Stegostoma tigrinum: one gene and its partner. The protein of the gene in region 2 interacts with the protein of the main gene of each other region in a pairwise test. Links are inferred from orthologs where the notes say so. Each region holds a gene or a part of one and is shown on either strand. Other genes may lie near its edges. The genes, in order: ubiquitin-conjugating enzyme E2 E2 and znrf1.

Evidence for each region.
Region 1: the proteins of znrf1 (region 2) and ubiquitin-conjugating enzyme E2 E2 interact in a two-hybrid assay, tested with the Homo sapiens proteins (2 studies listed by BioGRID and IntAct). The link is inferred for Stegostoma tigrinum from reciprocal best matches to the Homo sapiens genes ZNRF1 and UBE2E2.

Annotation. Positions count from the first base shown.
Region 1 is NC_081355.1:65,288,937-65,304,272, forward strand, and holds the start of ubiquitin-conjugating enzyme E2 E2, read right to left. Parts: upstream 6,735-15,336; 5' UTR 6,649-6,734; intron 6,454-6,648; exon of another isoform or gene 6,250-6,453; 5' UTR 6,198-6,249; intron 5,464-6,197; 5' UTR 5,454-5,463; coding exon 5,278-5,453; intron 1-5,277.
Region 2 is NC_081369.1:14,287,371-14,302,701, forward strand, and holds the start of znrf1 (E3 ubiquitin-protein ligase znrf1), read left to right. Parts: upstream 1-8,033; 5' UTR 8,034-8,068; coding exon 8,069-8,537; intron 8,538-15,331. UniProt on the Homo sapiens protein: E3 ubiquitin-protein ligase that plays a role in different processes including cell differentiation, receptor recycling or regulation of inflammation. Mediates the ubiquitination of AKT1 and GLUL, thereby playing a role in neuron cells differentiation.

The DNA of each region.
Region 1 (15,336 bases), on a different chromosome or scaffold from region 2:
AAACTTTAACTGAAATTAAATTTAAACTAAAGAGTTCCATGTTATATCACCTGATTTGTTAATCTACTGAGTTATTGTGACGATACTACTTAATTTATTACACATAACATCAGGACTGATGAGAGCTGTTCAGAAAGCAAATTACAGGGATATAGCGTAAATTCTGATTGAAAACATTTAGTAACATTTGGCAATAATATTGTGTTACTGTGTTCCAAAGTTGGTAACTGTGGTATATGCAAGGGTGAATTTTCAAAAACATACAATATAATTGTCTTCACTGTGTTATACTCCATGATATTTATATCTCGATAACATGGCGAGTGCAATGGCAAATATGTCACTATTCAAGTTATTAAGCAAGATCAAACTAAAACATTTGCATTTTTTTCAAAAAACTCATTTTTTAAAATCATACTGTAGACTCTCCACTTCCCAATCTCTTGTATCTCGGAGGGAGAGAGGCTGGGGGAGACAAGAAACAAAGAACGAAGAAAATTACAGCACAGGAACAGGCCCTTCGACTTTCTAAGCCAGCACCGATCCAGATCCTCTATCTAAACCTGTCACCTATTTTCCAAGGATCTGCATCCTTCTGCTCCCTGCCCATTCATGTATCTGTCAAGATACATCTTAAATGATGCTATCGTGCCCAACTCTACCATCTCCGCTAGCAATGCATTCCAGGCACCCATTACCCTCTGCATAAAGAACTTTCCATGCATATCTCCCTTAACCTTTTCCCCTCTCACCTTGAAATCGCGACCCCTAGTAATTGAGTCCCCCAATCTGGGAAAAAGCTTCTTGTTATCCACCCTGTCTATACCTCTCATGATTTTGGAGACCTCAATCAGCTCCCCTCTCAACCTCCGTCTTTCTACTATAAATAACCCTAATCTACTCAACCTCCATTCACAGCTAGTGCCCTCCATACCAGGCCACATCCTGGTGAACCTCCTCTGCACCCTCTCCAAAGCATCCACATCCTTTTGGTAATGTGGCGCCCAGAACTGTACGCAGTATTCCAAATGTGGTTGTACCAAAGTCCTATACAACTACAATATTACCTGCCAACTCTTGTACTCAATACCCCGTCCGATGAATGAAAGCATGCCGTATGCCTTCTTGACCACTCTACTGACCTGCGTTGCCACCTTCAGGGTACAATGGACCTGAATACCCAGATCTCTCTGCGCATCAATTTTTCCCAGGGCTTTTCCATTTGCCGTATAGTTCGCTCGAGTTGGATCTTCCAAAATGCATCACCTCGCATTTGCCTGGATTAAACTTCTTATGCCATTTCTCCGCCCAACTCTCCAATCTATCTATATTCTGCTGCATTCTCTGACAGTCCCCTTCACTATCTGCTACTCTACCAATCTTAGTGTTATCTGCAAACTTGCTAATCAGACCATCTATACTTTCCTCCAGATCATTTATGTATATCACAAACAACAATGGTCCCAACATGGATCCCTGTGGAAAACTAATGGTCACAGTTCTCCATTTTGAGAAAGTCCCTTTCACTACAACTCTGTCTCCTGTTACCCAGCCAGTTCTCTATCCATCTAGCTAGTACCCCCGGACCCCACACGACTTCACTTTCTCCATCCGCCTACCGTGGGAACCTTATCAAACGCCTTACTGAAATCCATGTAAATAACATCCACAGCTCTTCCCTCATCTATCAACTTTGTCACTTTCTCAAAAGGATTCTATCAAGTTGGTAAACATGACCTTCCCTGCACAAAACAATGTTGCCTTTCACTAATAAGCCCATTTTCTTCCAAATGTAAATAGATCCTATCCCTCAGTATCTTCTCCAGCAGCTTCCCCACCACTGATGTCAGGCTCACTGGTCTATAATTATCTTGATTATCCTTGCTACCCTTCTTAAGCAAGGGGACAGCATTAGCAATTCTCTAGTCCTCCGGGACCGGACTCGTGCTCAAAGATGCTGCAAAAATATCTGTTAAGGCCCCAGCTGCTTCCTCTCTCACTTCCCTCATTAACCTGGGAGAGATCCCATCCGGACCTGGGGACTTGTCCACCTAATGCCTTTTAGAACACCCAACACTTCCCTCCTCCTTATGCTAACTTGACCTAGAGTAATCAAACATCTATCCCTCACCTCAACATCCATTCTGTTTCTCTCCTCAGTGAATACCGACGCAAAATACTCATTAAGAATCTCACTCATTTTCTCTGATTCCTCGCATAACTATCCTCCTTTGTCCTTGAGTGGGCCAACCCTTTCTAGTTACCCTCTTGCTCCTTATGTATGATACCAGCACTCATCTAATCCTGGCCACAACCATCCTTGATTTTAAATAGTCTGCTCTCATCAGTCCTGATGTATTGTATAATAAATTCAGCAGTATTGTCTCAATAATTCAATAGGTTGATAAGGTGATATAATATGGAGCTCTTTAACTGAAATTACATTTAAACAATAGTTTGCATTAGTAACTGCAATCGTGATATGATAAACAATAAGTGATTCAGGTCTGGAATGCACTGCCTGGAAATGTGTTGGAGGTAGATTCAATTGAGGCATTTAAGAAGTCATTAGATGATCATTTAAGTGGAAACAATGTGCAAGGGTATGGAAAAAGAGGACAATAGCAGGGCAATAACATTAAGCCAATATTACTCCATGAGACAGTTGGTACAGAAACAATGGGCCAAACAGTAAAAAACATAGTAAAACCTCTTTGATTCAGTGCTTCATCTGCCTAAGATCATAGCTTTAGAATTCCCTTTCAAACATCTCTGCTACCCACCTGTCTTTCTTCCTCTGAGAAAGCTGCGGGGTGGGGGGGGGGGGGGGTAACATATTAGCATGAACAGAAGATTGGCTGACTGGCACAAAACAGAGAGTATGTATTAACGGATTTTTATTTGATTGGCAAGAAGTGATGAATGGAGTCCTGCAGGTGCCTATGCTGGGACTCAACTTTCCACAATATACGTCAATGTCTTAGAAGAGCAGAGTGAAGGCATTGTAGCTAAATTCACTGATGCCACCAAGATTCATAGGAAAGTATGTTGTGAAGAAAACATGAGGAAAATGCAGATAGATATTAATACATTGAAGGAGTGGGCAGAAATCTGGCAGGTGGAGTATGATGTGGGAAAATGTGAAATTGCTCATTTTATTCACAGCAAGAATAAAAAAGCAGTGTATTATTTAAATGCAGAACTCGGGGGTGCAAAGGATTTAGGCGTTCTAGGGCATTGTGTCATAAAAAAGTTTACAGGCACAGTACATAATCAAGGCAGCTAATGGATGCTATATTTTACGACGAGGAATTAGAACATAAAAGTAAAGAAGTCATCCTTGGTGAGACCACAACTCGAATAATTGAATAGTTTTAGTCTTCCTATTTAAGTAAGGATGTAAATACACAGCAGGAAGTTCAGAGGATAGTTGGAATAAGTAGGTTATCATATGATGATAGAATGAACAAGCTGTGCTTGTTAGCATTGGGGTTCAGAAGAGATGACTTGATTGAAATGGAGAAGATCCTGACACGGTGAATGTTGAAAGGGTGTTTCCTCCTACAGGTGCATTTAGAACTGGGAGACTGTTTTAAAATTAGGGGTTGGCCTTTTATGAGAGATATAGGGAAAAAACAACATTCTCTCAGAGTTGTGCAACTTTGGAATTCTGTGGACGCAGGAAACAGTGGAGCTCATGTTATTAAATATTTAAGGCCAAGTTACATAGTTTCTTGTTAGGCAAGCCAATAAATGTTTATTGAGAATAGATTAAGTATGGAATTTTAAACAAAGAGATCTCGTTCAATGGTGGAGCAGGTATGAGGGAGCAAATGGTCTACTTATGTTTCAATTTTGAATGTTTGTATGTTTGTAAAGAGAATTTTTTAATCAAACAAAAAAGTTGGAAAATATACAGCACCATTTCACTTTGACAAGGTAAAGTTTAATATGCTGCCAAGCTTTTCTCTTAGTCTTGGTTATGTGGTTGGGCATGGACTTTCGTTGGATTGGTTCAAATTTATGAGCAACGTATTGCAGCAATTGCTATTGCTCCCATCAAGATGGCTAATCAGGCAACTCTCCCACTTAGTTTGTCATCACACTTACAGCTAGTTCTCCTGTAACACGATAGTTGCATTTTTGTGCGGCCTCTTACTATAGAAAAATCAGCTTATAAGGAAATTGCGATACTGTACATTAGAAACCTCACATTATCCAAACAGTGTCCACTATTCCTCAATTGTGCTACACACTTTATAACAGAAATATCTGTATTGGAAGGATTTACAGAAAGACAATCAAGCAGATTGGCAAAGTTAGAAATGCACTTTCCATAGCCAGCAAATCCTGGTATGACTTAAAAGAGGAATATCTGGCCCAGAGGTAGAGACACAAGCCATTCCTAATGATGCCACACAACAAGTTGCTTTGAACTAAGAAAGCATGGCAACCATTTTGCACCTAGCCATGTTCAACAAGTAGTAATGAGATGGGTAACTAAGTAAGCAAATAACACATTACTTTTTTTGAAGCCATTTGTTGAGTAGATACTGCTGGTCAAAATATTTTCAGAACTCTGGGGCTTTCCTCAAATCTTTAATCTTAATCTTAGCCACTGAAATAGGCAGATAAAATCTTGAGTTTTACATGTCATTTGAAGACTGGGACCTTTAATAGTGTTGCGGTCTTGTAGTTTCATACAGACCAGAGGGTGTGTTTGGTGGATGAGGAAATATAGCCTGAGCACACAATCTTCAAGCAACATGAGGGTGCAACTGAACTAGGTCAGCAAGGTGAAATGTGCTCACTGTGAATCAATGGCCCATTTAAAACTACCTTCAAATTTAAACCCTTACAGAATCCAATAATTGTTTAGCTGCAGGAGTTTGGTACCAGTACAGGCACTGGTGCATGGTTAAGAGAGACTTGTGTTGGCAAAGTTTAACAGCAGAACCAAAAAAACACTAATTGTCAACCTGTAGGTCCATACTTCTATGGGGTAGCATTTGAACATGTGTTTACATTCCCATCACTAAATGTACCAAGCTGAGATAAAACTTTCACTGAAAACATTTGCCTTGCAGAGGAAATTCGATTCAAGAGAGATAAATGTCCACGCTTGCATCAGTCAAAAGAATAGAACAATAGCTCACTGGCTTCAGATCAGAAGAAAGCTATATTGTCTTGGTTCATTCTTCATCTAATTTTGCTAATAAAACATAATGGGATTCCTCCTAGGACAAACAACATGATCAGTTTCGAGTAAGTTGGTACCTTTTAGCACTAGTTGAAAGTTTAGCAGCAGTTTTACTGGAAATCTTGGCATCTTTTTTCTTGGGCTGTGGCTGTTCCCTCTCTTGTTCTTGAGGAGTACTTTCTCGCTGATCCCCATCTGAGCTGCCACTACTGGTACTGGGGCTGTCATCAGCCGTCTGCGGCTCACTGGACATCTTACTCGTTCTGGAATTTATAGCAAATATATTAATTGAGCAATACTTGAAGTTCAAGACAATCTTGTTTCAAATCATTAAAAGACACAATCCACTATCCCAACTTTTTAACCCATTTCACAAACGCTGAAACAGCTTCAAAAAACAAACGTAATTTCCAATACAGATTTGAAATCGACCGCAAGGTGTATCTAAGTTGTATCTAAAACATTCGCCGAATGTAAACATTGTTAGGTCAACATCATGTCTCTTCGTGTTTCAATTTCGACAACAGCATTGTTTTGTAACATTTATATTTTTTCCGACCAAGTATAAATCCCAACAGTTACACAAACAATACCAGCGAAGTATAAGTCGAACATTTCACAGCCACGTCAAATTGCGCTTGATGTGGTTAAATAGCAGACGGAAGGAGGTTTTAAACACCGACTGTATGTCATTTGGGGCGAAAGTGGGGGGGGGGGTCAGTTTGTCATTTGCAGAAAGTCGGATATGAGAAACTGCAAACCAGTGTGCAGTGACTGATGCTTTAAAGGCCTTGCTCGTTTCCAATATCTCCCTCACACACACAGAGAGGAATATCACACAAAAACAGCTAAACACCATCCACTCTCGACTCTAACTTTCAGGCCGGATTTGGAAACTGTCCAGTCGTTTAGAGGGGCCACTAAGTTCTATGGGGTAACGGGGAAAGAAGGAGGTGATTCTCATTTTTCTTCTTCTTCTTCCTAAAAATCTTATTACCTGAGCAGTGACTGGGGTGGGGGGGAATCGCTGTCTATGTCTTCGGGTTACGCTGAAAAATAAACAAGGAAGTAAGAAAGGAGTTGAAACAGACGGAAACCAAACGGGTTTGACTGGTGATGTTGGTGAGAAAGTGGAGGAGACACCAATCCCAAACACATGAGCAGAAGCCCCCTCTCCCCTATCTAGCTATCCGCTGCCGACGCCGCTTCTATCCTCGCTGGCGCGCGCGCACGGACTCGCTCGGTCTCCACGGAACCACATGCTCGCGCGCCCCAAAACTGAATCAGCGCTTTCGCCACCGCGCGCGCACACGCGCCTCACGAGTGCGCACACTCTCCCAGCCAGGAGCATCGCCGGGAAGGGGACACGCGGGGCGCGGCTGTGCGCGTGCTCCATTCAACCGTCGCATTCTGTCTTTGAGTGACGGCGCGAGGGCGGGCGGTTACACCTCGACTCCGCGCTGCTGATTCAGTGAGTGGGCAAGAGCCGTCTCCCTATTGATCCGTTAACAACTTCTTGATTCAGAATTCCCGCTGTCTTCCCTTTGGAGGTTCTCGGATCTTTCAGGATTAGTCCGGTGACCACCGCCCGCCAGCTGCCCTCCTGTTAGGGATCCTATTCCCAACCAAAAGGTGCAGATTTTGCATGTGACTCCCAGAGAAACAGCAGTTCGGTCCCTGTTCTAAAGTAGTTTGTTCTTCTGACTTTTTAAAAAAAAAATAGCAAAACGATTAATTAATTCTATGGTGCCAGGCTAACTGCTTATTTTCGACATGGGGTGTGAGAGTGAAGGGAAATGACTGGAATGGCTACATCCAGTAAACACGCTGAGTCCTTGCGTCAAATTTCTCAGACTACCGCGATCATCATCTCAATCCAACACTTACTCCAGAAACAGTCAGTGGGAGACTTGGCGCATCGCAGTCAATGATATACATGCTGCACTGAGCATCGTCAGATTTGATTCATTCTGGTGATGTTTAGGAGCTGTCAATTCAGGTTGCTAGCCTGATCTAAATGCAGGGACAATAATTACATAAATTGAACAAATTCTGAAACAAACATAAATGCTGAAATCTGTTTGGTGCGGTGGTTTCTGACATTGTCTGAAATTCAATCTGAGACAACAGTTGGAATTGTTCGAATAGGATGACAACGAACCAACCTATACCTAAGGGAATGTTAAATTTATTACGATCTTGTGATGGAATGTTAAAACTCTTTGTGAAAGGTCTTTTTAAAATGTAACTTTCCTTCATGTGTGTTAGAAATAAATACAACTTGTTTTGTTTAAGTATATTTATAGCCTCTCTTGTGAAAAAAGTCTTAAATTTATGAGAGTACCTATCTCATTTTTCAGAAATATCTCAGAGCACTTTACAGAGAATTAAATACTTTGGAGAGGAGCTATGTATAGCTAATTGACAGAACCATAAAATTATTTCTATGCAAAAGGAGCCCATTTGGCCAATTGTGCCTGCACAGGCTCTTCAATTGAGTACTACAAGAGATGAGGACTGTCTTTCTGTCTCAGATGGTTGTATGTCTTTGAAATTCTTCCTCAAAAAGCAGTGAAAGACTTTTAAAGAAAATGCCAGATAGATCCTTGGCAAGCAATGGAGTTTAAGGTTATTGGGAGTAGTTGGAAATGTGGATTTGAGGTTTCAATCAGAATAGCCACAACCTTATTAAATGCCTGTGCAGACTTTAGGGGACATGTGGCCCATTCCTGCTCTGAACCCATATGTTCTTATGTACTGATCTATTGAACTCTGAACTGAGCTCAATCCAATGTCTTCTGCCTCACCAAGATCACCTCCTCCTTCCATTTCTGTAAATTGTTCACTTTTATCCCTGTCTCAGCTCACCAGCTACTGCAACACTAATTTGTGCTTTTGTTACCTCCATGCTTGACTATTCCAATGCTATCTTGGATAGCCCACCATCTCCCATTTTCCACCATTATAAACTTCAACAGGAGTCTAAGTGGCTATTTCTTATAGAATAATAGACCTGAAAGTGCCAATACGTGTACAGCACAGATATTCAATTTCTAAACATCTCTTTCCTGCACTTTTACCTCTCTTCCGTCAAGTATCTATTTTTGGTTGCTTTCTGTTTCTTATACACACGCTGCCACTTAGAAAGAACATCTGAAAATGCAGTTTCAGTTTTCACATGTATACCCATGACACCCAGCTTACCACACCACTGCTCACCCAACTCCTCCACTGTCTCTAAATTATCAGTCCTCTTGTTTTCTGGATACAGTACTAGATGAACAGAAATTTCACCAATTAAATATTGGGCAGACTGAAGTATTCAATCCCTGCCCCAAATTTAATTCCATAACCACTGAATTTGTTTCTCTCACTGACAGTTACCTGAGACTGAAATAGACTGTTTGCAATCTTAGTGTCAAATTTCATTTTGAGATGAATCCTTGATGGCATAGCCATACTATCACTGAAACCACTTATTTCCATAACATTGTCCACCTCTGCCCCTAACTCATCTCATCTGTTGAGGATGCCCTCATTTAAAACTTTGTTACCTCTAGACTTGGCTATCCCAGATACACTTGACTGGCGTTGCCCATTCTATGTTCTTTAAACTTGAGGTCATTGTAAACTCTGTTGCTCAAATTCTAACTCACACCAAGTCCAGTTTAATCATCATTGCTGTACTAGCTGACCTGCATTGGCTACAGGTCTAGCAAGCCCTTATTTTTGAAATTCTCATTCTTGTTCTCAAATATACCTCCATGGCCTTGCTCATCCAAATCCCAATAATTTGCTCCAACCCTTCAATACTCTGCACTTCTCTAATTCAGCATCTTGAGCATTCCTAAGGTAATGGCTCCAGTATCGATGGTCTTAAGCTCTGAAATTTCTTTCCTCAACCTCACTTCTTTTATTAAAGATACGTCTTAAATCCTACCTTTTGATCTGGCTTTAGGGAATGGTGCCTAAAATTTCTTTATATGGCCGGTTCTCAAATTTTACCTTATAATGCTTCCGAGAAATGGCTTATACATTTTGTAATGTTAAAAGTGCTAGATTAAATCAGTATGTTGCTGTAGCTGTCTCCAACAAAGCTGCACTACAGATGTGAAGACAATTTGATGTTCAAAGGTGACTAAAAAGACAATCTGCTTTATTCAATACAGGGAACAATTTTTACCATTGACTAATTGGAGAAAAATATCTGGTCAATACAATTGTGTAAGATGGCTGGACTATCCCAGAGTTCAAAGTATCAGCAATCCGTTCATATAACCAGTTCAACTTCAGGCGCATAACATTGCTTCCTGTATCAATCAAATAAGATTTTGTTTTGGCAATACTTGGTTTTTATAAGGTCACCAGAGCAAACATGCATGGAATCATGTCCACTTTATCAAAACTCTCACAAGACCTTTATTTTAAGACACCCATCCATTAATTTACGAAAAAAGACAGAAAAATCCTTACAGGGTGTTTTGTCCATTAAGTCTCCCTTGTACATCACTGAACTCATATCTGCCCAACCTACCCAATGTTGAATAGGTATCAAATCTGGGAAAATTAAACAAAGTAGTTTTCAGATGTTGTATGTGACTCTGAACAAGTAAAAGGCTCTGAGTAATATTCATTCGGACGGTCAGTTGAGCTTCAGGAAATCACGGTGACCTTGACAATTGGCAAACCTTGAACATAGCACCAAACCTGTGCCGTACTTATTTAAAGAGAAAGAATGAAAGCTTGACTCTGAGAAAACATCTACAACCATGGCTTTTGACATCTTTTACCAAACAATAAGTACCATTCAGGTACAATGAAGTTTATCATTCAATTGTGTCAGCAATTGGTGACGTGGTTACCTCTGAATCAAAAGTTGGGTTCAAGATAAAATGAATACAAGTTGAATACAAAATGAAACAGCCCTCCAGTTCGGTACTGAGAGTATACTACATTATTGGAGATGTTGTACATCAGATCAGAATTTAAAATGATGCCCCATCTGTGCTGTCAGATCCTATGGCATATTTGAAGAAGAGCAGCGGATTTACCTCTGTTGTCCCAGCTAATATTTAGCCTTAAATCAATATTGGGAAAGCATATATTTCTACTTACTTGAACAATCAGTATCGGCAAACAAAGGAACATAAGCACAAAATGTTAGAAATCACATGTTCCCTTCAGGACAGGAATGCTGAGATAACAAGATGTAGAGCTGGATGAACACAGCAGGCCAAGCAGCATCAGAGGAGCAGGAAAGCTGACGTTTCGGGCCTGGACCGAAAGGTCTGAAGAAGGTTCCAGGCCTGAAACGTCAGCCATTCTGTTCCTCAGATGCTGCTTGGCCTGCTGTGTTCATCCAGCTCTACACCTTGTTATTTCAGATTCTCCAGCATCTGCAGTTCCTACTATCTCAGGAAAGGAATGCTCCTCAGCTACAGTTGGCTCCTTGCTCTGGGTATTCACATATGTTGGAGCAAATTCATTTGATCTGAAATCTAGCAGGCATCAGGTTCTCTTGTATCTTTCTGCTCTGTCTCGTGACTATCCTAGCTAATTAAAGAGCAGCAGCATCAGCTTCACCTGCCACAGCATCTCTGCTGATTCCCTTTCTTAGACTCCTATCTAGCGAGATGTGTGGCAGCAGACTCGGGTCAATGTGTGGAGTTATTAAGCCATAACTTCTGAGGTTAGCCCTTGTCATTTATGAGCCAACCCTGGAGACAGGATGTAGGGGGAAGTGAATATTAATGGCACTGTGGATTGTGTAGAATGTAAGCAGCATGACAGCTCCCTGGATAACAAGTACAAGCCTGCAGAATTGCCTGTGATCACAAATGAGCTGGACAATGAGGAAGTGAAATCATGACCTGGAAAGGATTCTGGCTGGATGATGCCAGGAAACTCTGAGCCTGCAGTCAATTGCATCTTGGACCTAAGGGCACCCAGAAATGAATGCAAATCTGACAGCTCAGGGAGTGTGGCACTCTTGTTCCATGGTGAACTTCGTAAACAAAGGTGTTTTTCTCAGAAGGGTATTCATGTATTTAGAAGTGCACATGCTCATGGCTGATTGATATAGGCTACACAAATCCCCAATTGAGGTTTGAAAGGCCCTGGTAAAGTAGAGCTTCAATCCTGCTGTGATCTTCAGTGTCATAGGTACAATGATCCCAACCAAGCTGTGTGTCTGCAAATCTTTCTGCTGAATGTGGCAGACGTAGGTAATGTCATCTGTAGTCACGCAGATCTAATGTAGCATTGGCATTCACTCAGTTGCAGGTGGCTGTAATGTTTTCAGTACATCCTGTCACTGTACAGTACTTGACAATACTCAAGGCCCTAGTTCCACTTTTCACCTACTGCTTGATGCTGTACAGGCAGAGTCCCCTGACTCTTGGGTCCACAATGCGGTTGCTGTTGAGCATACTTTCACCTTCTCTTCTTCCTCCATACTCACAGCAAAGCCAGTATAGTTGCAGGGTTTAACTAGCCAAACATTTTGCATTGAAGTAAGGATCTATGAACAAGTAGCAGGAAAGAGATATTTGATTTCTTTTTGAGAACTTGCCCTCGTCAACCTAGCCTGTGTGACATTATTTTTCAGTAAGAGCTTACTGAATGTTGCATAAAGACAATGGGAACTACAGATGCTGGAGAATCTGAGTTAACAAAGTGTGGGGCTGCCTGAACACAGCAGGCCAAGCAGCATCTTAGGAGCACAAAAGCTGACATTTCAGGCTTAGACCCTTCATCAGAAAAGGGGGATGGGGAGAGGGTTCTGAAATAAATAGGGAGAGAGAGGGAGGCAGATTGAAGGTGGATAGAGGAGAAGATAGGTGGAGAGGAGACAGACAAGTTAAAGGGGCGGGGATGGAGCCTGTGGAGGTGAGTATAGGTGGGGAGGTAGGGAGGGGATAGGTCAGTCCGGGGAGGACGGACAGGTCAAAGGGGCGGGATGAGGTTAAGAGGTAGGGAATGGAGGTGCAGCATGAGGTGGGAGGAGGGGATAGGGGAGAGGAAGAACAGGTTAGGGAGGCAGGGACGAGCTGGGCTGGTTTTGGGATGCAGTGGGGGCAGGGAAGATTTTGAAGCTTGTGAAATCCACATTGATACCATTGGGCTGCAGGGTTCCCAAGTGGAATATGAGTTGCTGTTCCTGCAACCTTCGGGTGGCATCATTGTGACACTGCAGGAGGCCCAGGATGGACATGTCATCTAAGGAATGGGAGGGGGAGTTAAAATGGTTCACGATTGGGAGGTGCAGTTGTTTGTTGCGAACCGAGCGTAGGTGTTCTGCAGAGCGGTCCCCATGCCTCCGCTGGGTTTCCCCAATGTAGAGGAAGCCGCAATGGGTACAGTGGATGCAATATACCACATTGGCAGATGTGCAGGTGAAGCTTCAAAATCTCTGAAATTTATTTTAGAACCCTGTCCCCATCCCCCTTTTCTGATGAAGGGTCTAAGCTGAATGTTGCATGCTGGCTTTATTGTGTCCTTTTTTGTTGTTTTCAACATTTTTTTTTGTAAATATGTTCATTAATTGAATGTGACATTTCTGGTAAGGCCATTAGCAGCTGCCATTCCATTCTACCATTGTGCAAGCCCTCCAAGGAAATGAGAAAAGAGCATATTCATCCTATACATCCTCGAAGAGAACAGAGAATGTTGTCGGAGGTTAGGCCCTCAAGCAAATGAGATTTATGGATGGAGAGGGGTGTGGATAAGTGAAGTTAAAGAGTTCAATGATCATGGTTAAATGTTGTCGCAAAAAGAGGTGCCATTAAAAATTTAGTTTGACAGATTGATTATACTTTTATCTGTATATACCTACTGACCATGTGTGAAAGGATCAAATGGAACTGGAACCTAGATTTGTAGGACTTCAAATAAGAGTCGTTAGAAACTGCACATCACTCGAAATAGTTATGAATAAAGCTTATTGCTGTTTAATCACAATAATGCAGTTCTCGCATGACTACAATGGCACCAATATAATTATCAATCAATAGGAATAACAATTGAGGGAGGGGGTTCATATGGGTACCTTCTATTTGGAGAATGTTAAAGGAATCAAGGGACAAATTGTTCAATGAGTGAATAAGTTCAGCCAAGTGGAGGACAGTGATGGTTGATGGAAACTGGTTGGGCCTCCATTGAAGACAGAAACAAAGTGAGCATCATTGCTTAACCATTGACCACAAAATCTGTGCTACAGGCTAACAACATCAAACAAGCAATAGAATAACAAATCCTCTGCCTTTTGTTAATTTCTAGAGCTGTTTAATCAATGTTTTTTGGACTCTTGTGTGATATTCTACCAGAAACTCATGTAAACCAAGATGATAACATTAGTTGACCACCAAACCTATATGGCCAGAACGTCAGGAGATCCAGCCTGAGAGCTGAGTGTGATGAAGCATTTGTTTGTTGAATGTTCTGCTGTAAAGCTTATTCTGTCACATGCCCTTTCCAAATCAGTTGTGTGAACTGCACAAATAATTCAGGTGACTGCATATGCAAGACAGACATACTTAATAAACATTCACCACATGCAAACTTCTAAACTGAATTCTGCCATGACAAATATTTAAGCACTAATTTCAAACACCTGACATAAGTATTTATATTTTTGATAAACTTAATTTATTTAATCCTTAGCAATGTGTTTTATGAAAATGCTTATTCCGTGGTCAGGGACTCTTTCCCTGCCACCTTTCTTGGCTGTGATTGTCAGGATATCCATTTAAATTGCATTTCCAATTTAAACTGCTGTCTACTACCATTCAGCATTCCTATTTTAGATAGTGATGTTTTCGTTATCATAGTACATCCACATATATATCAATGACAATGTTTCAGTTTGTGTTACAGTGATGAAGAAATTGGTTTAAATGTCAATACATTTGCCATCCTTCATATAAACATATGGGGACAAATTAATATGTGTAGCATTGTTACACAGACTCACATTAATTCCCCCAGGGCAGACAATGCAGAGGACCATGCAGTGGAATTCTTCATTTATCTCAGTGTTTCACAAATGAATTTCTCTCCCTTGTTGGTGGAGAACTCATGGACAGAATATATATAAAATATGAATATACTCAAGGGTTTGTGGAGAGGTTGTTATTGTAATAAACATTACTATAAAAATTCAGAAACAGGTTCTGTAAATGAATTAGTTTACATTTTACTGTATAAATATATTTTTTGTATAAACCATTAACCTTAACAGAGTCCTGATAATAGTGTCAGCACAAATTGGAGTGAATTTTCTCAATGGCTTCTCATTTGCAACGTTCTTACTGTCATGAGCATTAAACTAATATTTGGCATAAGTTCTGACTTGAGCAGATTCATACAAGTAGATATAAACCTATCTTAGAGCAAGTATTTTGATTTTTATAATTACTTTCTCTTGTAAATAATCCAGAATGTTAAGAAATATCTTGACCATCTCATTTATATATTCGTAGATGTGAAAGCAAGCTTTTAACACAGAGGGTGGAATGTGTCTGAAATCCACTGCAGGAGGAGATGGTACAAGCAGATACAATAGTAACGTTTCAGAGGCATCTTGACAGTTACATGAATAGATGGGAAATAGAGGGATATGGACTGCGTAGAGGCAAAACATTTTTAGTTTAAAAAGTCATCATGTGTTGGCGCGGGCTTGGTGGGCCGAAGGCCTTGCTCCTATGCTGTACTGTTCTTTGTTCTTTAGATGTCATTTTTGAAACAGACTGAATCATATGAACATTCAAAATAGAAGCAGAAGTACACCATCCAGCCCCTCTAGCCTGCTTCACCATTCAATGAGATCATAGAATCCTTACAGTGCCAATAGAGGCTATTTGGGGCCTATCGAGTCTGCACTGGTGCTCAGAAGAGCATACCCATCTAGAGCCAACTCCATACCCTATTTCCCTACAACCCTACATTTACAATGGCTAAGCCACCTCGCCTGCATTTGCCTGGACACTACAGTGTAATTTAGTATGGCTAATGCATCTAACCTGCACATCCTTGAGCTACGAGAGGAAACCAGAGCACTGGGAAAAACCCATGCGGACACAGAGAGAATGTGCAAGCACCGACGGGCACCCAAGGCTGGAATTCCTGGTGCTGATAAT
Region 2 (15,331 bases):
CCAATAATTTTTAAATTCCATTCAGCTCACTAAAATTATTTCAATACCCAAGGCCAATTCCGTTAATCCCCCTTGTTTTTTTGACACTGCGTTTTCATGCAGTAGAATTGTGATGGATTACCCTTGTCTAAATAAGAGAACTACAGAGTTTAAAGGACTATCCAAGGACCACTACTGTGATTGCAGCAACTATACAGTTATAGTCTATGACTTTGTCAAAGGTCTTTTCCCAGGGTTGGGAGTTCAAAACTAGAGGGCGTTATTTTAAGGTGAAAGGAAAAAGATTTTAAAATGACCTGGGGGTGGGGGTGGGGCAATGTTTTCACACAGAGGGTGGTTCATACATGGAATGAACTGCCATAAGCAGATACAGGTACAGTTACAACATTTAAAAGATATTTGGACAGGCACATGAACAGGAAAGATTTGGAGGGATATGGCTTAACATAGGCAAATGGGACTCATTTAGTTTGAGAAACTTGGTTGGCATAGATAAGTAGGACCAAAGGGCCTCTTTCAAAGGGACTCTATTATACTAGGAGAATACAATGATGTTACATTTGGTTTAACAGCTCCTTGATTTCCTTACATTACTTCTCCTATTTATATGTGTTGGTGGCAGCACTCTTCAAAACAATTGCTATAAAAAGGCATCCAGACAGTAGGCATCTAACAGTAGTTTGTAGAGGCCATGAAAACCATTGACCTCTGATATTGTTGGGTTTCCAGACCCTTCAATTGGAATGCCCCTGTCAATAATAGAATTCCTTTATTGTAAAATTGTCTTTAATGTTCTTGCTTATCCCAACGCAAGAGAAATGAAGTGGCAATGGTATCCAAAAATGTTAGCTGTTGACTTCAATCAGATGTCTTGTCTCAAACCTTACTCTTGGCACACGATCATGACTAACGCTTTGCCCAGCATACCCTCAGTACTGTACCAATTGGAGATCCTAAATAAAAGGTGCTGTCAATGTTAAATAGTACTTGCTACCATGGAAAGAATAGAAGGGTAATTGCACTGGCCAACATTATTTCCTCAACCTTCATTGCCACCAAATTAATCCATTGCTGTTTTGAGCTTGCTGTGCACAAATCAACTTCCTGAATTCCCTCAATTACAACAGTTATTGCATATGAAAAGAACCTCATAAGTAGCAGGGTGTTTGCAATGTCTTGAGGTTGTGAAAGACATAGTTTAATTACAAATGTACTTTTTTCTCCAATAGTATCACCTATTGTCTTTGAATGGCTGTACTCTTGAACAGATAATGAGTGACTTGTTATCACATATTCAGGCAGGTGTTTGTTAAGCATAGTATAAATGTAGATTGTAATACCAGATTGAACAATTCAAACAAGTCAACTTCAAGGATAATTGAGTTTGCGGCTTAAGGGAAGATGGATTAAAGGAATATGGAAATATGGTAGACACATGGGATATTTGGATTACTGTTCATTCTTATTTTATAGTTTTAAGAAGTATCAGGTGCCAGACCTATTGTAGTATTTGTTGAAAGTTCAACAGTTTTCCATGGAACATATTTTCTCCTATACAAAAGCAGAAGTTACCAGGAAAGCTCAGCATGTCTGGCAGAACCTGTGAAGAGAAGTGTTTCAGGTTCGGTCTCTCCAATATCAGTAAATCATATATATTCACCTCAAGGTCATATTGTTGTGGTAATCACTGAAGTATATAATGACCAAAGAAAAATATAATTGTCAGTATAACTCCTGCCATTCACTGGCAAGTGAAATAGCTGCCTTAATTTTACACATCAGCCAAGTTTAAATATTGTTCAAAACAAACTTAGACAGAACTCTTTATTTTCCAGGTGCCATTCTTGACTTTGAGAGTCACCAAACTATGATTTGTACTAGAGGAAGGGTGAGGAAACAGGCCCTGATGTCTATCTTTACTGAAACAGGGATCAAACTTGTTGTTTGATTTAACACTGTTGGTGTTATTCTGAACCACATCCTAGCCATCTAGCTAACCAACCACCTGAACAACTCCTAGTTACAAATGTAGAAAACATTTTTGAGCAATAATCCTTAACAATTAGGATTTGAACTTCACCTCATATAAATCTACTTTCTTCCCTACAGGCGGTAAAAAAATTCTACAAACCAGTTTCCTTTCTGAGAACTAGCTTATACACAGTATCTGCATCATATTAACTGATCTGCAATCAAACAAAGCCAGCATTTTTAGCTGCAAGCTGATCTCCGTGTGGGTTTACCATTCATACAAAGCATACAGAATAATTAAATTTCAAATGTTTTCCATGATACAGTTTCCCTGCCCTTATAAAACAGTGCAATTTAGTGTAAGCAAATCAAAGAAAATTCACTAATCTATTGCAATTGAAGATTTCATGACTGCCCGGTTTCTGCCTACTAAATCTTATTTCTTTTGTCATATCTGGTGTTAACTTTTCTCTATTTCTTATTTTTTTAAATGAAAAGAAGAAGCTCCATGCCAACTGGCTCCCGTCCCCAGGTAATTACAGACTCTAGATCTTAATCCCACTGCACCCGAAACTGATTTACCAGTTTTTTCTGAATTCACCCTTTTCCCAGCGCTCTCAGAATTTTCCGCCTTATTCCTATTAGACCCTAGACTGTCCCCAGTGCTGAGAAGAGGTACTGCTGTTGGACAGTGCCCCTGCTGTCATCAAACTTGTCATCTTCAAAATGCAGCATCACAGAAAACCAGTCAACACATTATAAAGAATAATTGATTTGCTCTCAACCTTTGAAGAATAACCTTCCCTGATTTTAAAGACTGGGGTTTTGGGAGTCATTTCATTCACCAAGCAGAAGAAACATCCCACTTCCCCACGCCATTTAATCAACCCCAGCAACACATGGTGATTGCTAAAATGACTGCAAAGTTATTGGCGACAGCTTATAGCGGGAAAATCATTGGTTTTCTTCAAGCTTCAGGTATTTTTACTGTCAGGAGGGAGACATCCATCCGCTCTTCCACAAGTCTGAAGGAGTTTCTTTACATTGTTCACACCCACAACCTGTTCAACCACTCAGGATCCAATCAGAAAGTCGTCAGGCTGATGACCTGGAGCGTCCATGACTAGTCGCAATTGCACAAATTCTATCCGCTACATGCTGTTGGCCAAACCTCACTTTGCGTACACCCCTCCATCTACGAACAGCCTTCCGTACTCCTTGAACAAAGCAGTTATATAACGCAAGGGCTTCCAGTCTCTTGCTTTTTTAAAAGTGTAGCAATTCCTTCCACAATCCTTTGTTTTAAAACAGCTTTCACCCACCCCACCCTGCCATTTCAGTCTACTATAAAAGAAAAAAAATGAATTAATACTTTTTTTTGTTATTGGTTAATCCTGTGTGATTTGATGCAGTAGGTGAGTCAGTGGTACGCCCTGCCCTCCACCCTCAACCAGACTATTATACATGATTACAGCTTCACAGTTAGCTCCAGTAACAGCGCAATGCTGCCGACGCCACTAATCCTGTGTGAGATTTGTAGCTGGCTACCAGCATTTATGGTGCTCTTGTGCTTGCAGGTGGGCTGGCAATTTCTAGGTGTTTCCAAACTTCACCATAATTGAACGGTTGTGTCGAAATCTATATAACCCTCCCTCTTTGCCCTGTTTTCATTTGGTTCTGGAGTTGAGAAACTTTGGCATTTTTTTTTCATTTCTGGACGATTCAGGAGCAAACAGATGGTAGTCTGGAATGTTTGCTTTTACTTGTTGATGTCAGCGAGTCTTTCATTGCTAATGATATGGAAACAATGAAGTAAAAATGTGAACTAATACTGAACCGCACAGTGTTTACATTTATATTGTTTAACAACTTATCAACTTTGAAGGTTGTCCCTTAGGATTGAGGATGGCTTGCTTCTAGTTACAGTGGATTCTGCGATGGTTTATATATCCGTTGCGTGATCTGCAGATTCTGCGATATGTGGGACAGGTGATGTTTTAAGGGTTGGACACACCTTGAAATTGTGTGGAAATACAGGAACAGCTACACCTCCCAGTCGCAAACCATTTCCATTCCCCCTCCCATTCTTTAGATGACATGTCCATCATGGGCCTCCTGCGGTGCCACAATGATACCACCCGAAGGTTGCAGGAACAGCAACTCATATTCCGCCTGGGAACCCTGCAGCCCAATGGTATCAATGTGGACTTCACCAGCTTCAAAATCTCCCCTTCCCCCACCGCATCCCAAAACCAGCCCAGTTCATCCCCTCCCCCCACTGCACCACACAACCAGCCCAGTCTTCCCCTCCACCCAATGCATCCCAAAACCAGTCCAACCTGTCTCTGCCTCCCTAACCTGTTCTTCCTCTCACCCATCCCTTCCTCCCACCCCAAGCCGCACCTCCATCTCCTACCTACCAACCTCATCCCACCTCCTTGACCTGTCCGTCTTCCCTGGACTGACCTATCCCCTCCCTACCTCCCCACCTACACTCTCCTCTCCACCTATCTTCTTTTCTCCATCTTCGGTCTGCCTCCCCCTCTCTCCCTATTTATTCCAGAACCCCCACCCCATCCCCCTCTCTGATGAAGGGTCTAGGCCCGAAATGTCAGCTTTTGTGCTCCTGAGATGCTGCTGGGCCTGCTGTGTTCATCCAGCCTCACATCTCAGGTTCAGGTTGGGGCCGGCTGAGGTAACGGAAGCATTGGTGAGCATATTGAAAAGAAGGACGGGAAGCGTCACAATAATTCTTCTAGCCTGTGGCAAGACTTGTTTTGTGATCTGATCTCAGTTTCCTGTATCCAGACTCTGCCCACACTGACTGCGATGCCACTTTCTTCCACACCAGAAACGTTCCTTTTAACCCTCCCATTTTCTCCAGCCCATCTTGCTTATTACAGAGTTCCCAAAAGTTTCTGCACGTCTGAGACCCTCCAGTTAAAGATAACAAAAAACAGAAATTGCAGGAGAAACCCATCAGGTCTGGAAGCATCTGTGGAGAAAGAAACAGAATTAAAATTTGGAGTCCAGTGACCCTTCTGCAGTTAAAGCTGATGATTGTACATTTCTGTGACATTCTATCCTTCGGTTTTAGCTATTCCTAGTTACTTGTGCTGCTCTGTAGTGTAAACCCAGATCATGGACTGAACCCTGGATAATATTTGCATACACTGTCAAGTCACATGCATATCTGTCACAACAATGTTTTAGTGTGCCAGGGGCTGACCATGCCAAACGATCAGCTCTGTGATTGTTACCTATGATGGGATGAAATGGAGGACGCAGCAGGCTGAAGCGTAAAACTCCTACCAAACCCGAACCCTGATCTCGCCTATGGACTGGAAAGATTGGGTTGAAATCTCCACCCATCCATTCCCAAACCACCGCCGGCTTGAATGTCAATTTTGGAACCCGTTATAATTATTTATCTCGACAAAAGTTAGATTTCCTGCAGTCGAAATCACACTAACTTCCTGGACCAAGCGCAGTAAAAATGGGGCCGGGCTGGAACGTGCTAGACAGCTTCTGTACACAGCCGTAAGGCGATCTCCTCAGTCCAGCGCGGCCTGGGTAGGGGGGGCTGAATCAACAACCAGGTCGGCATGAATGAGTTGGGTTGAAGGGTCTGTTTTCGGGCTGTATGACTATAATTCTAAGCTGGCCCATCTCTCCACAGATACCTACTGACCTGCTGTACAGTTTGGGTCTCATTTCAGGTGGCCAGAAATATATACTTCCTCTTGTTCCCTTTCTAAAAAAATGTGAAAACAGAAATGGTTGGCATTGCACTAGATGAAATGAGTTTCCAATCAGCTCTTTTTTTAAAAAAAGTAGCGTCACAATAAATACGTATGGATTTCTCCATTTGGTGCCATGAAAAGTTGAAAAGGTTCATGACGGAGGACTTTCCTATTGCGAATGGCCTCCTCCCTCCAAGAGCATGTTGTAAATGTCATCGCAAATATTGCAGTCAACCAGACAGAAAAAAAAAAGTGCAGGAGCAAACTACTGCAGATGCTGGAAAGTGCTCTGAAAACTAAGAAAATAAATGCCGCTTGAAACGTTAAGCTTGCTTTCTCCAGAGATGCTGCCTTATCTCGGTGTGGTCTCCAGCAATTTTTGTTTGCTGTAAAAAGTTAAAGGTTTTTTTAATGCGTACATTTTGCATTTTGAGAATAAGCATCTAGATTCGTGCAATCTAGTACAATATCAATTAATCCATAATCTGTTGGCCAGGATGCTGCCTGGGATTTAATTGTCTCGGGAGGAGAAGAAATACTATTCCTTCTCGTCCCTCTGTGGGGCGTACATCATTGTAATACCGTGCGTTTACATAGAACAGTTAACTACACACTGGCTCCAATTCACCCCAGATGGGATTAGTGAGGCTGAGGTACCAGTGTCTTATTTGGCAATTCTTACTTTCCGAGGTTCTGGAGAATGTTTTGTTTTACTGATGTATGAAGCCAGGGACGTGCTGCGGAGTGGAATGGCCAGCAATTCTCTGCGAGCATGAATCAGATTAAGCAGTTTTGTTCAGAAGGGTCACTGGGCTCGAAACGTTAACTCTGCTGTTTTTCCAGAAATTTCTGTTTTTGTTTAAAAATTCCTGGGTTGCGCATGGGGCACCTCACCCTCACTTCGGGCTGCTACTGGCCGATTGTTTTACTGCTTTCTTTGAAATAAGACGATGAGCATCCTGTGAACAACGTGGTTGGAAAGTACAGTGGTCACTGTTTAGAGCGGTTTTACTCCATCTCCAGCCTCGCGGGACATCGCTTGTGACTGGCGCTAGTACCAATCTTTCTAAAGGTGAATTCACTTTCCCCACTGAGCCGGTCTCGGCTGACCACTCTCCTAGGAGTACGGCCGGAGTTAGTAACGCCAGTTAACACATAAGCGTAATGCGGCGAGCTCCGCTCATTCGCACCCAGTGAGAAAGCTGTCCGGATACTGCCTCTTCCTATATTGGATTGCCCGGAGCACTGACGAAATAAACCATCTGTCAAGCATATATCCAAGACAGCTCCGGGCATCCTGGTGGGCTCGCTGTATCCGAACAAGACAAACTGCTTTGTTTAATGGAGTGTCGCGGAAAAGTTTTAAAAACAAACGCCTTTTCTTGAAATAAACCTCATTTCCTTGCTTTTCAGAACCCTGGGCAGACAAGATTTGGACTTTTTTTTGTGTGCGTGTGTTTGGGGGGGGGGGGGGGTGTAAGAAATAACCAATACGAAGACTGCGGGAAATGTGATAGGGATCGGATCTCATGCCTTGACATTTCGGCTGGGGTGAGAAATGTCATCACGAGCGAGTTGACAGATAAGACACCCAAACAACATCGAGAGGGAGAGAAAGAAACAAGCTATCCTGGTGCAAAACGAGTGTTGGGAAATACCTGCCAATGAGATGCAGACTTGTTGGGGGAGGAAGAGGAGAAGTTGGTCAAATGCAAAAAAAAAGATAAGGGGGGGAAAAAAGAAGAGAGAAACTGTTGCTTCCTTTATGCCACATCCTGCTTGTATCAAAGTGTAGAGAACACTGACAGCCAGACAAGGCAGTGAGTGAAGTGACTGACTGACTGACTGACTGGAGGGGGCTTTGCTGGCAGCGCGAACTGCTCATGCGCCTTGCTCTCACCTGGGCTAACAGGAGCTGGGCTGGTGCGGGAGGGACAGGGAGCGGGGTCGAGGGGTGAGGGAGGGAGGGCGGGGGGGGGGGGGGGGGGTGGAGGTGGGGGCTCTCCCGGGGAGTTTGTTCGGGCGGGCGGGCGGGGGTTTTAGAACAGAAGAAGAAGATGGCCGATAAGGCAGAAGTTGGAGAACGCCAGGGTTAGACAGCAGCTTCCCTTCACCCCCCCCCCCACACAAAAAAAATCAATCACTCCCCCCCCCCCCCGCCCCGCCATCAGTCCAGTCAGTCAGTGAGTGAGGGAGGGCGAATGGCCGCGGCCGAAGCCCTCGTGTGAGACCGGGCGGCGGTTAAACCCCCCCCCCCCTCAGGCTTGGGGGGTCGACGGTAGATTAACTACCACCCCCCCCCCCTTTCCCACACACAGCCTCCAGGGGAGGGTTGTTTATACCGCCCGCCGCCCATGGGAGGGAAGCAGAGCACGGCGGCCCGCTCCCGGACCGCTTTCCCCGGCGTCTCGAGCGACGACAGCGCCGTCCACACCGCTCACTACGGCCATTACCGGGCGTCCGCCGCCGGCACCGCCGCTGGAGGTGGAGGTAGTAGTGGTGGAGGAGGAGGAGGAGGCCCCGCCATGGGGCTCAGGACTCGCTCGGTTAGCAGCGTGGCCGCTATGGAACCGGCTCATCCTTTCGGGCTGTACAGTGGTGGAGGTGGAGGGAGCCGGGCTGGAGGAGGAGGCGGCAGGGTGACCGATGGTGTGGAGCACAGTAACGGAGGAGGTCCCGACTCGGCCGGTAACGGTTACCGGGAGACAGGAGGAGGCCCGGCCGCCCGGGAACTGCAGCTCTACCTGGGCTCGAGAGCGGCCTCGCTGTCCGACTCGCTGCCGCTTCACCTGGCGGCGCCACGCTGGTTCAACACACACAGCGGTGAGTGCACCCCTAACCAGCAACCAACTCAACCACTAACCCTACTCTGTCACCACCCGGTATCCTTCCATTAATGAGCAATCAGCCACCAGTCCAATTCGTAACCTGCCCCAATTAACCACCCTGAGGCACCCCCGACGCTGGCTGATATCTGGTCATTCATGCCTGTTGCCCCCGTCGATTAATAGCATGTGAAATTTCCTTTGGTTGTCATTTTATTCAATGCGGGGAAGATAAAGCTGTCGTAATTGCTGGTACCAGCTGATTATCAGAAGTCATAGTCGTCCATTAGTATCACCGTTTCTGATCTTTATTTGCTGGTTAATTCATCAGTAATTGGTGCTAACAACAGTTAATATATTATCAATACTTATTATGATGGCTTATTATCATTTGTTACAAATTTAGTAAATATTGCAGTACTTAGTGCTATCAGTGTTTGTAATAATCATTCTCTTCTGTTTTATAGTCATATTAGTTACAATATTAATGCATAATAATAACATTCCTCAACTGCATCATACATATATTTGTTGACACTATAAATGGTATATTTCAGGATGGAAGAAAGCTAACATGGCTGTCCCAGTGCTCCCTCCTTATTGGGTAATACACAGTGTATCATTAGTAACTAGTGTTCTGATTTCACCAGGATGGGGTTATCAAAGCTACCCTTGATTACTGTTAATGCTAACACTATTGACACTCGTTATTGCCAGTACTTAAAAATAAGCTCATTCAGTTTAAAATAGTTAATTCTCTTAAACTTTGACTCTTATAAGATTTTTGATTTCCTCTGCCTTTTTACATTCCCTCTTACTAAGCAAAGCCTTTAATGAGTTCAATAATACCAAATTTATAATTAAATCAGAATTATTGTTTACACACAGGTTTTGGTTGTAACAATAGAAATCCACTTTGTTTTAGATGGAGCTATAGGAGTAAGATGTTAGCACTGCTATCCTTTCTGATGTAACGTTCTGGCCATTCAGAAAGCCAGGACCTATTAATGTTCACAATCCTGAATGAATAAACAGCATAGTTAGTATCTTGAGGCCAACAGGCAAGAATTATGATGGATTAAATATTCAAAGTTGCAAATAATCCAAAAACAGATTGGATTAACACAGAAATTTCTCCCATCTGTACAGAAGGGAAAACATTTTCTCTGTTTCAGGTCCAATGGCCCTTTGTCATGTTCCCAAAAAGTAGGCTTTAGAATAAATATTTTTATCAGTAAAATGATAATTCTGTTTACAGTTGGGGACAAAATATTGTGTTATGTAAACATTGCTTGTATATCACGTGATGCTACAGTATGATGTCTTGCTTAATTGGAACCATACTTTGACGAGTATGTCATTGAAGGCAGATTGACTTCAATTACTCAGCGTTATTGGGAGCAGCAGTGTATTTGAGCGCAGTGTCGATGGGTTGGAGAGGAGTTGATACTTTAGATGTGGAAGATAAAAGTATACCAGATGGTTAGCATGAATGAGTAGAAGAGTGGTCAGAACCACTTGGGTTTTGGAAGTAGACAGACGTCACAGACATTCAGGTTGACCAAATGAATTGGAGACAATGGGGGAGAAAAGGCTGGACCAAACCTTTGTTTTGGTGGAGTTACAAATACATGGATGAGGTCACTATGAGAAGGTGACGGAAGTCAGTTAGAGATTTGAAAGTGAGGATGAGAAATGATAATTTCTTGGAGGACATAATATCACTGAAACTTTTGAGAGCATTATGTAATGTTACTGTATGACTTGGTGATGATGAGAATGGGTGCTGAGTATTGAATGAGTACCAAGTTGTAGAAGGTTGAGAGGGGAGTACTGGTCTGAAAGATGTTAGTTAAATTTCATTGTGAGGTTTAAGGTTTTAGCAAAGACTTGTTGCTCAGATTGTCGTTGAGGTTGTTGACTTGCTCGTTAAGCTGGCTTGTTCTTGTTCATGCCAGCTTGGTGAGCAATTCCTCAACTTTACTATGAGGTGATGGAACAGGGTTTTAGTGGTAGTAGAGCAAAATTATGGAAGGTACTGGGTATGCTTTTTAAAAAAAAAGGAAAAAAGTGGCCTTGGGATAGTGTGCATTGGGAAAGATACAGTTTGAATCAGCAATATGCCATCGTGCAACACCTTGTTAGATTGAGATGGATTGTAAAAAAACCAGCTGGGTTGAGACCAAACGTATGAAGGTGCCAAAGGCAAACAAAAAGAATGGCTTTATTTATTCCAGCAGTAAGGCAGATGAAATGTTGGCTTTGTGGGAAAAGTGATTTATACAGTGTTTTGCAGATCTTCAAATTAGAGACCTATTTCATAGTTTTGCGCTCTGAGTAGGAAATGGAGAAAATGATCTGTCTTTTGGGAGTAATTGCTAGACAGTACTTTGTTTTATTTGGCAGTGTTGCTGATGTTGATCAGGAAGTAATCTTGAAAAAGTGAGGATAGTATTTTGCTTTTATTGAGATAGTAGGAACTGCAGATGCTGGAGAATCTGAGATAACAAGGTGTAAAGCTGGATGAACCCAGCAGGCCAAACAGCATCAGAGAAGCAGGTAGGCTGACGTTTCGGGCCTAGACTCCTCTTCGGAACTTCTTCATCCAAAGGGTTATGACTTTGTGGAATTCCCTGCCCAGTGAAATAGTTGAGGTTACCTCATTGAATGCTTTTAAAGACAAAGATTTTCAAACAATAGAGTAATTAAGAGTTATGGTGAGTGGAGGGGTAAGTGGAAGTGAGCCGTTTAAAAGATCAGCCATGATCTTTCTGAATGGCAGAGCAGGCTCAATGGGCCAGATAGCCTACTTCAGCTCCTATGTTCTTATGTACAACTGTGACTACATTTCAGATGTATTTTGTTGACCGTAAACTTCTTTGCGTGGTCATGAAAAGCACTATACATGACAACACAGCGGGCCAAGCAGCCTTCAGAGGAGCAGGAAGGCTGACGCTTTGGACCTAGACCTTCCTGCTCCTGTGCTGCTTGGCCTGCGTGTTCATCCAGCTCTACTGCTTTAGTTTTTATATGCCTTTTTAATGTAGAGAAAAATACTAAGCCGTAACTTAACCCTGGAAAGTTTGGTCTTCTACTGCCAAGCAGACTAAATTGAAGTTTAACCATTGGCGTTGAGATCTGCATGTTGTGACAAATCAGGCAATGGATTATACCAGTATGTTGCCATTGGATCAGCTGTACTTCTACGGAGCCACAAGGGGAAGGGGGCATGAATTGTCTCTTCATTCCAAGAAAGGCTAAAGTGAAACTTAAAGTCAGCAAGTTACTAATGAGTTTCTTTTGACCATTTCCAGTGATGTGATGCAGAGCAGACTAAGTGAGATGCGCTAACTTGAATCAAAGAATATTGTGTATTTTGGGATGCTGAAAAACATACTAACACAATTAAGGCAGCGGAAAATAGCATTAATGCTAAGTTGTAAAGGCTAGAATGCTATTGATTTGCTTCTGCAGCTTTGTGAATTACAAAGAAATAATGCATTGTATTATATAGTGCTTTTCATGACCACTCAAAGCAGTTTACAGCCAACAAAATACTTCTGAAATGTAGTCACAGCTGTACATACGAACAGAGGAGCAGAAGTAGGCCATCTGACCTATTGAGCCTGCTCTACCATTCAAAAAAATCATGGCTGATCTTTTTGTGGGCTCACTTACACTTACCCCTACACTCACTCTTAATTCCTCTATTGTTTAAAAATCCAACATTGTCTTTGAAAGCATTCAATGAGGTGACCTCAACTGCTTCACTGGGCAGGGAATTCCACAAAGTTATAACCCTTTGGATGAAGAAGTTCATCCTCAACTCAGCCCTGAATCTGTTCCTCCTTATTTTGAGGTGATGCCCCCTAGTTCAAGTTTCACTAACAAGTGTAAAAAGCCTCCCTGCTTCTGTCTTACCTATTCCCTTAATAATTTTATATCTTTCTATAAGATTCCCCCCTCATTCCTCTGAAGTCCAATGAGTCTGGGCCCAGTCTACACAAACTCTCCTTAAACCAATCCTCTGAACTCTGAACTCTGGAATTAACCTAGTGAATTTCCTCTGCACACCCTTTCTCATGTAAGTACTGCCAGTACATCCTTTCTTAACTAAGGAGACCAAAACTGTACACGGTACTCCCGATATGGATTCACCAGCACCCTCTACAGCTGCGGCATAACCTCGCTATTTTTGAATTCTATTCCTCTAGCAATGAAGGACAATATTTCATTTGCCTTCTTCGTTACCTGCTGCACTTACATACTTTTTTTTCGTGATTCATGCACAAGGAAACTGTAATATAGGAGTATAGTTAGAATCCAGCTATCAGCTACATGAGGTTCGGTGTCAAATATGATGGTTTGCTCAAAGTGGCTGCTACTTGTAGAGGGAGTGTGAAATTAAATTTGAAGGCAAATTTCAACTTTGTTAGGGGTTGCTGGGGTATGTTTGTGCTTTGGCTCTCAAGCCTTGCGAGCCAGGGTTTTTTTAGTGTTTGGGAAGACACCAGAATAGGTGGGAGAAATATGGCAAATAATGTGCTTTAATAGTGCAAGAACATTCCTCCAGTCGTAATGTAATAGTGAATGTGCCCTCTTTTTTACACCACTATAAAATCCTGCTTTGAATTTGTTTGGAGGATTTTGGAGCTGTAACTTATTAGAATGCTAACAGGACAATTTAAAAAAAACCCCAGAAAAGAACAAAGCTAGGGTGGAAATTCCTAACGATAATAATTACAGATGTGACTTAGGTTGTAAAGTTGGGGTTGCCTACAATGGGTCTCCATCTTAATGGGGGAAAAAAAACTGTTCTAATTGACTTGCCAAATTAATTAACATAATTTGAAAAATTAAGTTGTCACCAGCTGATATAAGGTGGTCTGAACAATGTATAAATGAATTGTTTGGGATTGGAGGGAATAGTGGACAATATATCCAAGACTAAATAGAGGTTGAAAGACATGTGACATTCTGCAGACTGATTTTTTTTCATTGAAAACAAAGGCTTTCAACTTTTGTAAGTTGAACCAACAACATTTTATGGCTTTGACACTGTTTACACGCTTATCCCCGGCCTTATTGTGATTCCAAAGGGAACTTGCAAACCTCCTTTCCCAAAGCTATGTTCACAAAACTCTGTTTCATTTTTCATACTATCCCATTGTTTTCCCCCTCAAAATAAAACCTAGAAACGGTGGAAAATTTGAGCAAAGACATTAGCTGGATAGGTTACTCCAATAACTTTTAAGCTTGGACAGGAAAAAACTTGACAAGTGATAGACATTTCCCCTCTCAACTATAGAATTTTTCTTTTCCCTTTCAAGAACTATCTTTCTGCTCTTATCTGTGCATGTTCCCTCTTTTTGCATGTTCTTATTGTCTGATCAACTGTAACGTTTCTCTCTGATTTTTTTCTGGTGTAAACTATTCTCCTGTACACATTATCTTGCCTGCTCCCCCATCTACCATTTTCAACTTTAACAAATTATTTTGTAGTACCTCTAAACTATAGGATTTGTTATTTCCCTTGCTGTGTCTTTTATTGTGATTTGTCAAAGTTAAATTTAGTAAAATTGCCCAGTATGCCTCCGTAAACCAATCTGCGGTGCTTTTTATAATTTTCAAATTCAAAGTAAATATGAGTTCTTAATTACCAACCCTCAATTTACTTAGTCCTCTCTGATACTCTCTTCAACCTTTGTGGGCCTTGGTTTTACTTCTTTGTTTACAAACTTATTAGATATACCATTTGGTTACAGGAAATGGTGAGTCTAAAGATTAGAATTGTTTTTTGTTTTGAAGCAAACATTTTGTTGGTTGTCCACAACTATAATTTATGAAAAAGGTTTGATCTGTGAGCTGAAGTATGTTTTAACTCTGTCTGAATTAGCTTGAGATTACAGCAATATCAGGTGAAATAAACTTTATTCAACCTAGATGACTTTTGATACTTTATTTGTTGTAGGAAATTATAAATATTCGTGCTTGATGCAATGGAAGTCAATATTTTGTCATGGAAAATGAGCAGCTGACTGTAAAAGGAAGCCACCATCATTGCATTGTGGTTAGAACAATAGTGATTACACATGGCCTTTACATGACTTAAAAATGATGGAAGTTACAATCTTGAGCATGAAGTTCAATTTAAAGGAGTACAGAAGAAACTTTCATAATTTTTAATAGCCTAAAACATTTGAAATATTGAACAATCCTTGAGGAATAGTGCTGACTTTTGTGGAACAGTGCTGAACAACAGATGGCAGAACCTGAACTACTTTGGGTCTGACAACTGCTTCTTTTAAATCTTTGCACACTCAGTCCTTCCATCTGGATTTTTGTGGAACAGTAGGTTTGTTGTTGCTAGTTTTAATTTTAGAATTGGATTCTTTTATTTTGTGACTCTCAGCACCGTCCGAGATTTGCATTTCTTTTGTTACTGTTACAATTTTTTAAAAACTGAGATTAACACTGAACTTACTATTTCATAACACAACATTTATTATTTCCCTTCATACTGACTGTTTTAGATAGTTTAAAAACTCTGGCACTTGTTAATTTGGTGATATTTGTCATTCCTGACCACAAGTTAATATTAATTTACAATAAAGAATTTAGTTTTGTTTGTAAAAGGAGTGTTTCTAAGAGTTAACTTTTAGTTACAGCCAACCTTAAAAAAAGGTTGTACTCTTAATGTTTTACCTCTGTGTCCTTATGTAAAAGAACATTACTTTCCATGTTAAAATTGTCTTTAATGTGAATCAATGATAAATGAGCTTGGTAAAGTCG